2 linked regions of the Mytilus edulis genome follow. The protein of the gene in region 2 purifies or fractionates together with the protein of the main gene of each other region. This does not show direct contact. Links are inferred from orthologs where the notes say so. Each region holds a gene or a part of one and is shown on either strand. Other genes may lie near its edges.

Region 1 (7,853 bases), on a different chromosome or scaffold from region 2:
TAACATAACGTTATGAGTATCCCTGAAACTAAACCTTTCAACAAAATATTATTGATCTTCTATACACAAACATACATAGAAATAAGTATTGATAGGATTTATCTCCCTTTATTTTAGATTAACATGACATACTTATCATTGTGGAAAAATAAAATTTCTTTCTTTATAAAAATGGATTTCCACTACAAGATCGTGTTGTTTTTATTTTTTTTGTAGGTGGTATTTACATGATATATAATGTACCAAATCCTACATCCATACTCGACACTTTTATACACAACACATTCTTACAATGGACAAAATACAAAATAGCACACACATTCAATACATGTATAAAATCTGTCAAGTTAAGCACTCAAAAAATAACACAACCAGAACAATAACTGATATCAAATGAGTTTGGTCTTTGTCTCAGATACTTATGCCACAACTAGATGAATGAGAGCTTGGCAATGAACAACCACTGTCGCTACTGTCCTCAGTAATTTCACTTAAATTGTTTGGTTTCCTGGCCATTGTACGTCTTTTAGCCAGTCCTGAACTTGGTGGAGACAGTTTGAAACTTGGTATATTAAACTTGTCATCATCATCACCACTTTCATATGCATCACAGTCAAAATCGTCCCTCCCACCAATAAAGAAATTGGGAGGCTCCGAAATCAAAAGATGTTGCTGCATCATTCTGTTGATTGAGACTGCTTCTCCAGCAAAACATTCCAGATCTTTTGTACTGTTGTTTCTGCAATATAAATAAGAGTCCAATGTATAACAGATAAAAGCTTTCATGTTTTCATCTTAAACAAAATTAAATGTCATGCAAAGTAAGACTTTAAAGAAATGATGCTTATTTCAAGCTTATCAAACACTAGTGTAAATTTATTTGCTTCAACAGTCATATTTCCGTCTCAATTTAATGTAACAGTTATAGTGTAAAAAACAAGACATTACATTGTTAACAATGTAAACAGGAAAAGCATCAAGTGGTCACATACTTTATCTGATGTATACAGGAAATTACGTTTTATTACATCCCACCAACATACAGTTCTTAATATGGAAATGTACACGACTTGTAGTAAAATAAAGCATACCTTGTAAGAATACCAGGAGTAGCCAATGGGGTAGGTGCTGCAGGACATGTGATCCATGGATGTTGTAGAACCTCCAAAGCTGTCAGCCTCTTCCTGGGTTCACGGACTAGTAATTTCTGAATGAGATCTTTGACATCGTTGGATACATCTCCCCATTCATTGTCAGGGAATTCAAACATGCCATCCTGAATTCTAGTGAACAAGGTCTCTTGACATGACTGACAGGCTTCACCTCTTTCCCAGCCACAGTCACCACCACATTGTCCATAGAATGGAGGATAACCACATAACATAATATACCTGAAACACAAAATTCATTTCTAGGTTACTCATTTTGAATTTCACTATTTAGCAATATTTAAGCACTAATCAATATCATCTTTCTAAATTATGTAAATGAAAGTTTTGAGTCTATGCTATTCAACAAGAAAATTACGAAGGAACACATTGAAAAGATTCATCTGGATAAATTAACACCTGAAAATTTTGCTATTTTTTTCTTTTTTTTAAAACCAAAATAGTAAAGAACTTACAATATAATTCCTAAGCTCCACAGGTCACATTTCTTATCATATGAGAATGATTCTCCAACCCAAGCATCAACAACTTCTGGTGCCATGTACTCGACAGAACCTACAGGTGTAAGAAGTTCTGGTGTTGTACAATTGTCTTCTGTCTGGCTACCTGGTACCCCACTAGCCAAATCAAAGTCACAGATACGTATTGGGACTACTTCATCAGTTCTCTCGCATAAAATATTATCTGGTTTGAGATCTCTGTGTGCAATGCCTTAAAAAATAATAAATAAGATCATATTAATTTGTGCTTGGAAAAATGTTCCTTTGTAGATTATCATTATATACAGAATATGCTAAAAACAATCATGAAATTTGATGCTCCTACTGCAAAATGTATAATGTATGGTTTTTTTTCTTCTTTGCTTTTTATGCCAATAGGTATCTTTACAACAAAGTAACTAAAATAACATTTTTTTTCTTCAAATAAATGTCAATCTATTAAGAGACATTAATTTAAGATAAATGCTGGAAAACTAGGACACTTCCACACTGAAGTATAATTATTTTTTTTATATATATATTTACCTTTTTGGTGAAGAAAGTTCAAAGCTATGGCTATCTGTTTGACTACAAGTGCAGCCTCTCTCTCACATAGGTGGCCTCTTCTTTCAATATTGGCAAGTAATGTTCCGCCTTTCATCTTTTCAAATACCAAATAAAATCTGTCCTCTTCTTCAAAGTATTCAAATAGTTGTAAAATATTATCCTGGCCTTGACAAATACTGAAAATCTCTATCTCTTTAAAAACCTTATTTCTTGATCTGGTAAAATCTTTTTCAATAACCTGCAAAATAAAATGATTTCATATAACATTTTTAACTTTCTTGATACATGTAGGTATTGTTTATTTATATTCATATTTTTAATTTTTGTAATATTCAACTGTATTTATACAAAATTCATAGTTTCTACTTATCACTGGTCATCACAAAAATGTGTTATTTGTTTCATTGATAATAAAAATATATATTTTGAAATTACCTTAACAGCATATTCTTTGTTCGTTGTGTTTTTTTTGTAGGTTTTAACAGCAGCACATGCTCCATTTCCAAGAATTTCTCCAGTTGCTGTATACAGATCTGTTAAAAAGAAGAATATTAAATGATTGATTCATACCATAAATACATATACAAACAGTAATGAACAATATCATTACATTGTTCAATAATAAAAACTTATTAAAAGGTCATGACATCTTCATTAGTGTTTCACATTGAATTAACCCACAAATATTATTAAACTTTTCAAGTTGTGTTTTCCCAAAAATACCATGAACCTTCTCACTTCAACTGCAAGAAAACAAATAAAAAAGTTACCTTCAAATTTTTTAACAGAGTTGTCAGCAGCCCTCCTTTTTTTCTTTTTATTTCTTGTTCTGATATTCATAGAGCATGGGCCGTTGTTGTTTTCCGAGTCTGCCAATTCCATATCCAAGTTTGTCATTATACTTTCGAACATTAAACTTTCTGGTCGTGGTGGTGATTGTGAGCAATACTTTGACTTTTGGTCGATCTGAAATAAAATGATACATTCACAATAAAATTTCATTCATATCTTTAAGTTCTACCAAACTAAATCCCAATCATCAATATAATATGAAAATCAGATAATAGGTTCAATTTACATGTTCAGAAATAAACACTTCAAAAATACCTTCTTCAACTGAGCATTGAAAATCATACTCCTCTGTTGTAAACCCTTTCACCATACTGACAAGACATTCACAAATCCATTCCTACTCTATTGGTTTTTCAAAATGAAATGGATTTCACCAAATCATTGCAATAGTAACAGTTGCATCATAAAAGTTTATTTATAAAAGCCAAATTTACTGGTAAAGTATATTTTAAGTAGTTGAGCTAAGGAATCTAAAATTAGAACTGCTTTGTTAAACCAGCCAATCAGAATGCTAGTTGATTAAGTCATTCTATGGTTTAGGATTTTCCATTTGGGCAATCCGCCAAAATATCAGTAAATACCTAAGAATATTCCAGACCTCTGACAAATTTTAAGAGTTAAATATTTAATTATCATCTATATTCATGATAATGTTTTGCTTTCTGATAAACATTTACTGTTTAGAAAACTCAGTTATGCTTAACATGTAATTGTGTCAACAAAGAAGTGGGTCATCTTCAAAATATTTACATTTCATACATAATCAATATCCATGGCCTTCATGTAAAGATTACAGTGAAATTAAAAGTAAATTTGAAATCAACATAATAGACAATATCTATAAAACTGTTAATAGTTTGTGACAAATATAAATTTTAATATAAACAATAGATGTAAATAACAAAAAAAAATATCTACTGGAAGAACTGGAATTATGCATGAAAATAATTGCAAACACCCTGAGGCAACACCAGAGTATTAAATTGTAAAATTTCAGAAAATAAGACCAAGTCAACAATATTTTGCAAAAATATTCAATGTTTTTAATTGTGGAAGAACAAATGATTGCAAAAAATAATTCTACTTACATCGATCATTTTAAATGCTGATAAAATTCCTTTTTAAATAAAACTGATTATTTCCTGATTATATTCCGACAAAATTTGTAAAATCCAATATTTCTAAACCGGTAAATGGTCATTAGACCTGAATAATTTTGATCACCCTTTCATTTCAACACACTCTCAATAAACATTCAAGACTGAAAAAGTTTACGTCAGCCAAGCTATTTATACTAGCACAGCTACGTGGCTCAACGTTGACTGGTTGACTCAACGATATGTGACCCCAGTCTACGTACGCAGTTCCACGCAATTTTGTTTACATCCGTCTCACAACAATGTCGGCCATGTTTACTATGGCGTGACCTACAAACAATGCAAATTTCTAAATTTCTGGTGTTAAATACAATAACAGCATTTGATATCAATCAAAATCAATCTTTTATTCATGATTAAAAGAAACCTTCTTAGTATCTCAATGCAACTTACTTCTATCATGACGCTTTTTGTATTAGAACTTTCAAGCATCCTCCCGCCGCTGTCACCATTTTCTCAAAACAATCAGTCGGAGATTTACGGAAGAATAATGAAAATTAATTTTTGAAATTAATTTCTAGAAAGCATCACTTTTTGTTTAAAAGTTAATGAAAAAGTTAACTTACGCAAAAAATATATATATAAAAATAAGATTTTTAAAAGTTGTAAAATTTAAGTCTTATAAACGTTTTAATAATCATAATTCAGCATATTTAAAGAGAGATAATTTTGAACATTGAATATTTATTTTTCTCACGTTTTGTGTGTAGAAAAAAATGGATATTCCACCAAATCATCCTGACGGTAAGTTTATGTATAGTTTTGTAGAAGCAAATTTTTGTTTGTTAAATAGCTTGTTTGTACAGATATTGATATGTGCAATTGTATTTATCTTAATTCTCAATAAATCATGATATTGAAAAGGTAAACACTGTCTTACTCAAGGGTTTGTTACTGTTAGTCTAAAGTTGCTGTCATGTCTAAATTTTCGACCTTTTTGGGGTTCATTTATGGTTAGTATGGAGGTTTTTCTTAGTCAGGTATATGTGTTGTGATCATTGATATGGTCAGTTTAGTATTTTGCTTACTGTTTCAATGTTTGGGGAGATAACATGATTAAGGTTTATGACCCCTTCTGTAGCCATTTTTGTACGAATATTTCAAACTTCAATTGTATCAAAACTACAGATGTAATGAATAAAAGAGGGGAAACTTGATGCAAAGCATTATTATTTATTGTTTCATTGCATTTAATAGAAAAAGAGTACTTTATGGCAAATAATCCAAGATTTTTATAGAAAATCCACAGCCTTTAATACAGAGATTTTTGTTATAAAATTTGAAACATAGATTACGCACTTGCTTTTCTATGATGTGCTGGTGTTTATTTTTTACAAAAAGTTCTAATCAACCTGCAAATTCCAAAATACCTCGTGCTGTCCGAGTCACTAAAGTCAAATGTACCCTAAAAGGTGAACTTGATTTGGTCCATATTTTAATTTGTTTTAACCAATAGCTACATTAATAAACTCATTTTAAGGAAATCAATGCTGTCACTGCATGCAATAATCTTATATCTTTCAGTCATGACATTGCCAAATATGATGGTACAAGGATAAATGCTGTGGATTTTCTATAAAATTTCCATATGTTTAGCATTTAATCAACACAAGGGACCATAATCCTTAACTGACAAAATTTGAATCCTTTAGCTTTCAATAAATTAAAACATAGAACACTGAAGCAAACACTCTTCTTTTTGTCAGATTGAGACACCTAAACCTTCGCAAAAGATAATGTACTTGTGTGTCTCCCTATTTTCCTTTCTTACAAAATGTATATCAAATATAAAGGATTAATTGCTTCAATCAACTTGAAACTTTGTACAAATGTTCCCTATGATATGATCCTTCTAATTTTAATGCCAAATTAGAGTTTTTACCCCAATTTCTTATTCCACTGAACATAAAAAATGATAGTGTGAGTGGGGCATCCTTGTACTATTGACACATTCTTGTTTTAAAATATTTTGTTTATTTGTGCTCACTTGTAATTGTAACTATATTTTGAATCACTGAAAACACAAATTTATAGTGCAAAATTCAATAATTAATCAATTACAGTCTATATGAATTAATAAATGTTATTTATATATCAGTAAAATATTCATTGCAATTCAATTTCTTGTGTTTTGGCATGGACTTTATTATATCAGTACACTGCAGTACAGTTTTGGATTTTTTTTCTCTGATCCTAAACCCTTTATACATGTACATGTAAAAATGTATATGGAATTTTTCTCAGATTACAATGGCATTGCACATCCTTTTTATTTTAATCTATTGGAAATGTGTAATTTAGTTTTGTTAGTTTGGTCACAGTTCATTCAGCTTCTATTCTCATTTATCTTCAAATATTATTGGAATATGTTTAATACCTTCTAACCAAAGTCTCAAATGTCTTCTAATTGAAACTATAAATCATAAGAAATTTTAATAATCCTCAGTTTCCTAAAGGATGAAAAACTTTCGTTTCATTTTGTGATTTTAAAGTTGAGGAGTTTTACCAGATGTTTTCAACAATACCATTGTTTTTAACATTTTTATTTAATGACTATTTTTTTCCTTTCAGAACTTGAATTAAAAAATATTATAGACAAATTGGCAAGCTTTGTTGCTCGAAATGGACCCGAATTTGAACAGATGACAAAACAGAAACAAAAAGACAATCCTAAATTCTCTTTTCTTTTTGGTGGAGAACACTATAACTATTATAAATTTAAAGGTAAGTTGATACATAGGTTAAGAGCAATTGTGTTGTTATTAGAAAAAGTCTCTTGAATAAGAACTTATCAATTTGTTAAATCTGTCATAGAACAATCAGTAAAATATATATTTTCTCAAAGAAAACTGACTGAATGCAAATTTTAAAAAAACTCAACATTATTTATAGAACAGTTTGATGTCAAATGCCAAAACAACAAATTGAACAGGTCTTTCTAGAATTTTATTCCAGATACATAATTTATAATGAAGTCAATGTATTTTTGTATAATTAAACATAGAATTATTAATAAATATCTTTTGTTTTGTTTTGTTAATCCAAAACTGTTAGAATTAAAACTGTAGATCGCATAGATCAAAGAACTTTATTATTTTTCACAGGTTTAGGAAAAGTTATATAACAGGTGAAAGAACTCTTTTTGTTATATTCTTAGTCCATTTTAATTCCCCCTAGGACTTCCTCTTTATGCATTTATTTGAAGAGATCAGAAATCTTTTGAAGATTGCATTAGTTTAATTATTTGATCTCTCATGAGAATTATCGAATTGATAAAGGTCAGACAAAAATATGGGTTAATCCTTTGATAACATGAAAAACAAAGCCTTGTTTATTTGAGATATATAATTGGAAATAATTTTCACACCATGATAGACATAATTTGTTAATTAATCTATTGATATTGACACCTCTCTTAATTACTTGTTGATTTCACTCTAAGGGTGTCATCTCAGAGGGAGTATGAAAACATCTAGAATTAGTAAAAAGGGAAATATTAAAAAATATGCAAATGATATTATAAGACTAAAAACATTTTTAGAGTAAATAGCATTTGACTTTAATATAAATTAATAGTTTTCTTAGAAGTTGTGTTCATATTTAAAAGAAAATAGAATACAATAAAAATA
Region 2 (7,231 bases):
ACATATTTACATCTTAAAAATATGTACTATGTCACTACTTTAAAGAAAAAGTTGAGTCATACAACTATGCTTCAAACATGAGCGTAGTTAAAATTCTTGTGTCAGAAGTACCCACTTCAAAACAATAATTTCTATCAAATTAAAGTTATAAACAAATTCTTTAAATGACATGTAAAAATGTAGTGCTATTCAACCACACTATTTTGTTAACCAATACAATGAACACCTTTAGCAATAAGTCTATTGTTGCCCATAGCTATCATGGCTATTAAATGAATTTAGCTGATTACAGATTTTCTGCCAAAATTGTGATGAGTCCAAGGAGAAATCACAGTATTGTTTGACAAGGGGAAAAACAATTTAGAGAACCCGCCCAAAAAAATAACAAGATGGAAAAAGGTGAAAAGTTTTAAATACAAGTATAGCATGTACAAGTATAAGTATAGCATGTACAATGATGTACAGTACTTCTTTTGCCATTAATGATTTTTAATTGCAACATTTTTGTTGTGCAAATTGAAAAAAAAGCAGCTCTGGACTGATCTCCTTCTGGTATACAAACAGTTATTACAGTTTCAGCTTCATTTAATATTACGAACTGTTGCATGCGGGGAGTAATTTGATTAAACATGTTAAAAATATTCAAATTATAGTTAAACATAATTTGTTTTCTTCATACGATGTACATGTAACTTATGCTGGTTGATTCCAATCCTTCATGGTCAATAGACAGATTAAAATGCCCCTTTTTTCTGGGTCTCACTTATTAGTGACAACTAGCGTCAAGAAGCGACAAGAAGCGTTAAGAAGAAGTTTTAGCGACAAGAAGACTATTTAGCGAAGGAATAAATTGATATTTTTTTTTATTATATTGATAGATGAATAAACTAAACATTTGTGAGATGAAAGGGATTGTGTAGTCTATATTATTATATTGATAGATGAAGAAATTAAACATTTGTTAGGAAGAAAGGGATTGTGTAGGTTTTTTTTTTATTAAATATAAAGAATATGTTAAATATAATGTATGCACACGCTTTAAAAGGGAAATAAAAACAAAGATTTTCTCAACTTTTCTTTGATATATTGTTTCCTTTCTAACAGTATAATTCATTATTCTTGATCATGTTGATAGGAACAACATAAAATATGGCAGTAATAACAGTACACACAATGCAGAACATCACCTGAGAATAACAAGGCACGTGTTCCTTGTTTTATTGCTACAATAACACCTTCAACTTTGTACACGGTCAGACTATACAATTACATGCGCCCGAATACAATCATTGTAAATAGTGAACACCTGTTGAAAACTCAAGATTGTCATTATTTTCCTTTAATCTTCAATCAATATGCATAAGGCCTAAAAAAAAAAGATATGTGTTTCCGGTAACATCATTTTGAAAAATAGGGTCGGAATACTTCTTTTTTTTTTTTTTTTTTTTTTTTTGGACATCGTAAATGAAATCCGGAAAATTATCATGGTTTTTCCAAGTCCGGATCCGTAATTAGTTTCAAAAACCGGAAGTGTGCCATTTGCAATGTTTTTGAAGCACCTGCTGTGCAAATTTCTTGGATTTTAACCTATTTGGAATACCTTTTGACATTAATAAAATGTTTTACTGGCTTTCTATGCAAGTAGAAGCAAGAGAGAAAAAATATTATGTCATCTATCAGAATCCTGTGTCAAAAACGGGGTCGGTTGATACAATTTTTTTTTTTTTTTTTGAAGATCCAATAAAAAAGTTAGGGTCGGGGCTAAAAAACAGGGTCGGTCGGGTTACCGTAACATCGATTTTTTTTTTCTCGGCCTAAACATGATAAATATCGTTTAATGAGGCAATACACAAAATAAAATAATGAAAAATATTCACATTTTAATTTTCTTTTTCTCTCGTTTGATTTCACAATTTGTGTATGTATTTTCTGGACAAAGATGCACAAATAATGCATTTTGCAAGTTTATCATATATTGTACAAATAGAGTTTTAAAAACAAATTATAAGTTAAATATGTTATTGTTCTAAAACACTATACTGTTGTGCATAATAAATGATAAAATATCATGTAAATAAATGTTTGAATTTCTTTTCTATCAATTTTAACTTTCTTGTCGCTAAAATTGCTTTCTTTTGCATATTCTTTTAATATTTATTTGGGAATAAGTAATTTTAATAAAAAAAAAATTTGCTTTCTTGTCGTTTCATGTCCCTAAAATAATTCTTTTTGTCGCTAATTAGTGAGACCGTTTTTTCTTGGAACATGTGGAATAAAATGTGTTTATTCACAGTATGGTTGTGCGGTTGCGTTGGATAAAGTTGTTGCCACCACTTCATAAAAATTCCAGTTCATTCCCTTTGATGTCATTTTTGTTGTTAAATTGTTTATCTTTCACAGATTATGTTGATTTTTTGATTTTGTTATTTTTGATTTTTTGTTGCTAAATTAGTGTAAATTATAAATTTTATAGTCGACGCCCGGCGAATAATCTTCAATAATTGAAGGATCGCTAGAAACCAAAAGAAGAAGAAGAAGATCTTGTCTCAATTATTTCTTGATACCAACGGCAATTATGGTGACATTGATTAGGCTATATAATGTATTTACAGTTTTGACAAGACTTGTTTTATATAGACATTATACCCCTAAGCAGGTTTCATAAACACAGATTAATGTTTGAATTCTTGATTGCAGGATTTTTACTGTTATGTCGCAAAAAGACAATATTTTCCCAGACTATGTTTATCTGTTTATGATTATGCTTGAGTATGTGAAATTATATCAGAATGAGATCATGTGCAAGACAAGATAACGCTTTCATTTTATGACCAGTCCTTAAAGGTGGACAATACCAAGTGTGCTTTATAAATGAGGTATATGACATAAACTAGTCACCTTAACTGAACCAGGGGTAATTTTGTCATTTTTCAAACCCCAAGGTAAATTTTTCTCCGCCATTTTGGTTCCTCACATTGATGATAAATAAAATTCGGTACAATCTCGGAGTATTTTCCGGACATATCACCGACACGTGTTTCATCTTGATTCACTACTCTCTTTATTTTTTTTTTATAATTTCATGAGATATATTGATTATTAGAGTTTGCTCAATACTTCGTTTAAATCGAAAGAACACCAACGGGTTGATGACGTATTTTTGGCACATGCTTGGTTTAACAAGTTTATTTGTTTTTAATTAAAAATCTATTTTTCTAATTTCATAATTATTTTGCACTGTTTCTATATTTAATAATCATTGATAATGTCAGTTAAACTTCCAATTTTTATTTTTTATTTTTGGTATAACAAGATACAGGATATGCATGTAGGTATTTGTTAGAGTCAATGAGAATTTCTCTGGTGAGTGTGTCCCCGAAGCACTGAAGATCACTGAAGTACTGGTGCTGCAGACTATTGCGGTTCAGGTAATGTATGAGGGTTTGGATGGAATTAAATAATTAAAGAATAATACCCTTAAAAAATGAAGATTACAGAATAATGGGCAAAAAAAAATGAAGATTAGAGAAAAAAGGGGTTAATTTTTTGAAGGTTAGAGAAAAAAGGGGTTAATTTTTAAAGATTAGAGAAAAAAAGGGGTGAAAATTAAATGTTTACAGACCCTCATGTATTCCATATTCTTTAATAGTTTGCAGCAGAAAAATGAAAATTTGTAACGCTTCTTTGCAGCATCGAATTTGTCGTAATGTTTGTTCGTGTTTGCTTTGCTTAAATTAATAATTAGTATAACAGTAATATGGTATGAACATTTTGTTGTTGGTGCCGTGATTCCATTGAACATATTTAATCGTTTTTTAAGTCTTCTTTCTTGTAATGATGGCCAGTAAATATAAAATAGAAGAAGTGGTATGATTGCCAATGAGACAACTCTCCACAAGAGACCAAATGACCATGATGACATAGAAATTAACAAATAAGTTTGTTTGTAGCATATTTGTTACACTTTCAGTATATTGATATTTAGAGCATACATATATTATAGCTTGCTGCACAAGACGAGAGAGACCACTTAGCATATATATATTGTTGTGAATAAAAATCCAGTTAATATGGAGAAATACTACAGTGAACATTGAGTTTTGTTTATAAAGGTTATGCAAGCTTATATGAAAAACGGTTGTATATGTGAAAACTTCCATCTCTTTAAGTCGGATGATTATGACTAAATTTAGCTGTAGAATCTATGTACCAAATGAACTATGTACTAGTCTATCATAATTTGATTAATGTTAAAAAATCACAAATACTCCTTTAGATAAAGAAATACAAATGAACAACACAGTTAATAAAAAGAGACATAGCATCGATTCTTTTCGCTCCACACTGAGCTGCTAACATTTGGACGAATGACCCCATACACTGTAAAAACAGTGTTTAGATCCTAAACACTTATCTAAACACTTCTTCTGTGTACGTTTTGAAACGCGTTTAGCATCTAAACATGTTTAGATTTTAACAAGTGTTTAGATTTCAACAAGTGTTTAGATGTTATATGTTTAGAAATATATGGTGTTTAGACCTACCAACGGTTAGCCTACTAGTACTATGATTTCACAGGAACTTCTTGTGGTACAGCACTACAGGTTGAATAGTCCACACGGTATTGTAGAATATACAATGCACGTGTACATTTCTGCTAAATGTTCTTGCAATGAATTTTACCATGACTTGTCTATATCAGTAAATGACAACTGCGTCAATACAGAAATACTTACATAATAATATCATATTAGCTTGAAAACTTCAATAATGATAATAATAATATTAACAATAATAGGTTTACACATTTTATTCTTCCTGGAGACCAAAGAAAAGTTTGTAAACAATAGGACCAAGTTAAGAAAAGTCCGTAAACAATAAGACCAAGTTTTGAAAAGTCTGTAAACAATTAGACAAAGTTTAACCCTCCATTATTTTTTAAGGAAAAGCCTGTACCAAGTCAGGAATATGACTTTTTTTTTCGTTCCTTTTGATTGTTTATGTAGTCAAGTGTTTGATTTTTTATACGTTTTATGGACCTTCCACCTTTTTATACAACTTGGAGTCTGGTTCTTTTGTTTTTGTTTTTTTCTGATCTAGTCTTAAACATAACATACAATCTATTCAAATTATTTCAATAATTTATTTTTAAGTCTCACTAAATGCAAACAAAAAATAAAATTATAAAATTTGATGATTTTTATCCTCAACAAAACAGAAATTGTCAGTCCATCTCCTATCATACAGGAATTTTTCATTGCGGAACAATCTTCTTTTGAATGATAAAGGCTCTTGGTGTGCAGTTCCTTTTGGTTGTCAAGTGAACTTTTGTATCCTGAAATGAAAAAATGAAACCTTCATGTACATTTGTATGCAACAGTCACTTATTCTTAGATCATGTTTATTAAAATACATTAAACAAGCTTCTTGAAAAAGATTCTTACAAAAGAAAAATGCAAATTGTAGTTAAAAAGGCTATACTTTACACCTTGTACAAATTTAAACATCGAAAGACAAGCAAATCAAAGGGAACAATATATAGAGCAAACAAGCATGCAAGTTTTTTTTTATATTCTCTTATCCTATAAAACAAAATCCTTGATTTCTGAGAACTAAAGCCTGTTTTTCCTATTTTTTTAATTTATTTATTATGAATATATTTTTTTTTAAATTAATTGCCCATTTTTTTACCTATTCAACAGGATAAATATTAGAGGATGATTTAACCTCCATTTTTCAATCATATTATATTTCTATTGGCAACTTAATAATATACTTATATATTTTTACTTACATCTGCTCTTGAAATTAAGTCATCCTTTTCTTTCTTCGTTGCTTTCTTTCTGATCTGTTCTTCAATTTGATCTATAATATGGATTAATTCTAGCTCTTTTCATTCCCACTACATGTACAGTGTCCCAGTCCTATAAATGCATACATACAAATAATTATTATAGGTTTATATGAAAAAGAACAACTTGACAGTTTATTTCTGACATTGGAGTTTGAATGTCAGTTTATTTTCGAGTAATGAGTTTGAATGTCCTTTTGGATGTTTGGTTCTTTGTTTCTCTTTGACAAATGAAGTGAAACTATAATTTCAGTGTTTGTGTAAAGGATGTTGCAATAAGGGCCACTGTGATCTTATTCCTTGCAAAGTTAAAATATTTGAAACTATGATTGTATGACATTATCATATGTACAGTGTCAGTGACAGTTTAGACTATTCAATCTCATTTTAAATTTCTGAATTAGCTCATTCTTATTTTATGCTTGGTCCCTCCGACTGATTATGCGTGTATATTCATACCACAATAGTGAACTTGAAATAGCATAGGTTAACAGTTTAACGAACATATGCCTTTTATTAGTCTGTTAAATTATGGTTTGTGCCCCTCCCCCTTTTTACGAAATCTGGATCTGCTTACCTTCCGCTGCTGTAATAACTGTTAAGATGGCTTTTGATTCCGTCAATATTCTAATATGAAGTTCTGTATCTGTTGCATCGCCAATAGATATATATACTTGATAGATGTGATCCATTGTTTTAAAATGTTGTTTGTCTTTGGCGGGTCCGAAGGCGTCCGTATCAAATTACCACGATAGATAACTCTGTTCGTTAATTAATATAAGATCATATTCGGACAACGACTCCGGAAATTAGAGAAAATATATTCACTCATATCTTCCTTATAAATACTATAAAAGATTATTTCATATGTCCCTGGTATAAACAACTAATTGCTCAACTTATAAAAAAACCCAAAGTAATTCAATAATCTTACAACACAAAAAAGGGAAACTCACTTGGGGAAGATGATATGATTTGTTCTCATAAATAAAGAAGCTCCGCAAACTTGGGACTGAAGTTTGAAAATAATTTTAATTTCAAGACAGCCACGATATCATAGTTTCACAGAATATGCTGGAATATGTAGGAACATCGGGTAAAAAGGTGAAACCAGTACTGAAATATTGTAAAGTGTTTAGGTGTTTAGAAAAGTGTTTCAGAAGTGTTTAGATGCCATTTAATGTTTAGCTTAATGATAACATTCACTGATAATAACCCTGCAACACGTTTAAATTCTAAACACGTTTAGGTTTTTATGTGTTTAGATAAAAATCTGTTTAGATCCTAAACGCTTTCCTAAACACGTTTAGACCTAAACATGTTGTAGATCCGTTTCAAATCTAAACGCTGTTTTTACAGTGTAGTTTAAGAGATTTTTTT

The links.
Region 1: the proteins of U2 snRNP-associated SURP motif-containing protein-like (region 2) and calcium homeostasis endoplasmic reticulum protein-like purify together in Homo sapiens (affinity purification with mass spectrometry; 4 studies listed by BioGRID and IntAct, with this or other methods). This does not show direct contact. The link is inferred for Mytilus edulis from reciprocal best matches to the Homo sapiens genes U2SURP and CHERP.

The regions. Positions count from the first base shown.
Region 1 is NC_092344.1:19,672,819-19,680,671, reverse strand, and holds the start of calcium homeostasis endoplasmic reticulum protein-like, read left to right. Parts: upstream 1-4,851; 5' UTR 4,852-4,940; coding exon 4,941-4,968; intron 4,969-6,795; coding exon 6,796-6,948; intron 6,949-7,853. Other genes in the region: MAP kinase-interacting serine/threonine-protein kinase 1-like, read right to left, coding at 412-739, 1,092-1,391, 1,625-1,880, 2,195-2,453, 2,651-2,748, 2,986-3,181, 4,618-4,656. UniProt on the Homo sapiens protein: Involved in calcium homeostasis, growth and proliferation.
Region 2 is NC_092346.1:87,102,711-87,109,941, forward strand, and holds the start of U2 snRNP-associated SURP motif-containing protein-like, read right to left. Parts: upstream 3,013-7,231; 5' UTR 2,962-3,012; coding exon 2,899-2,961; intron 1-2,898.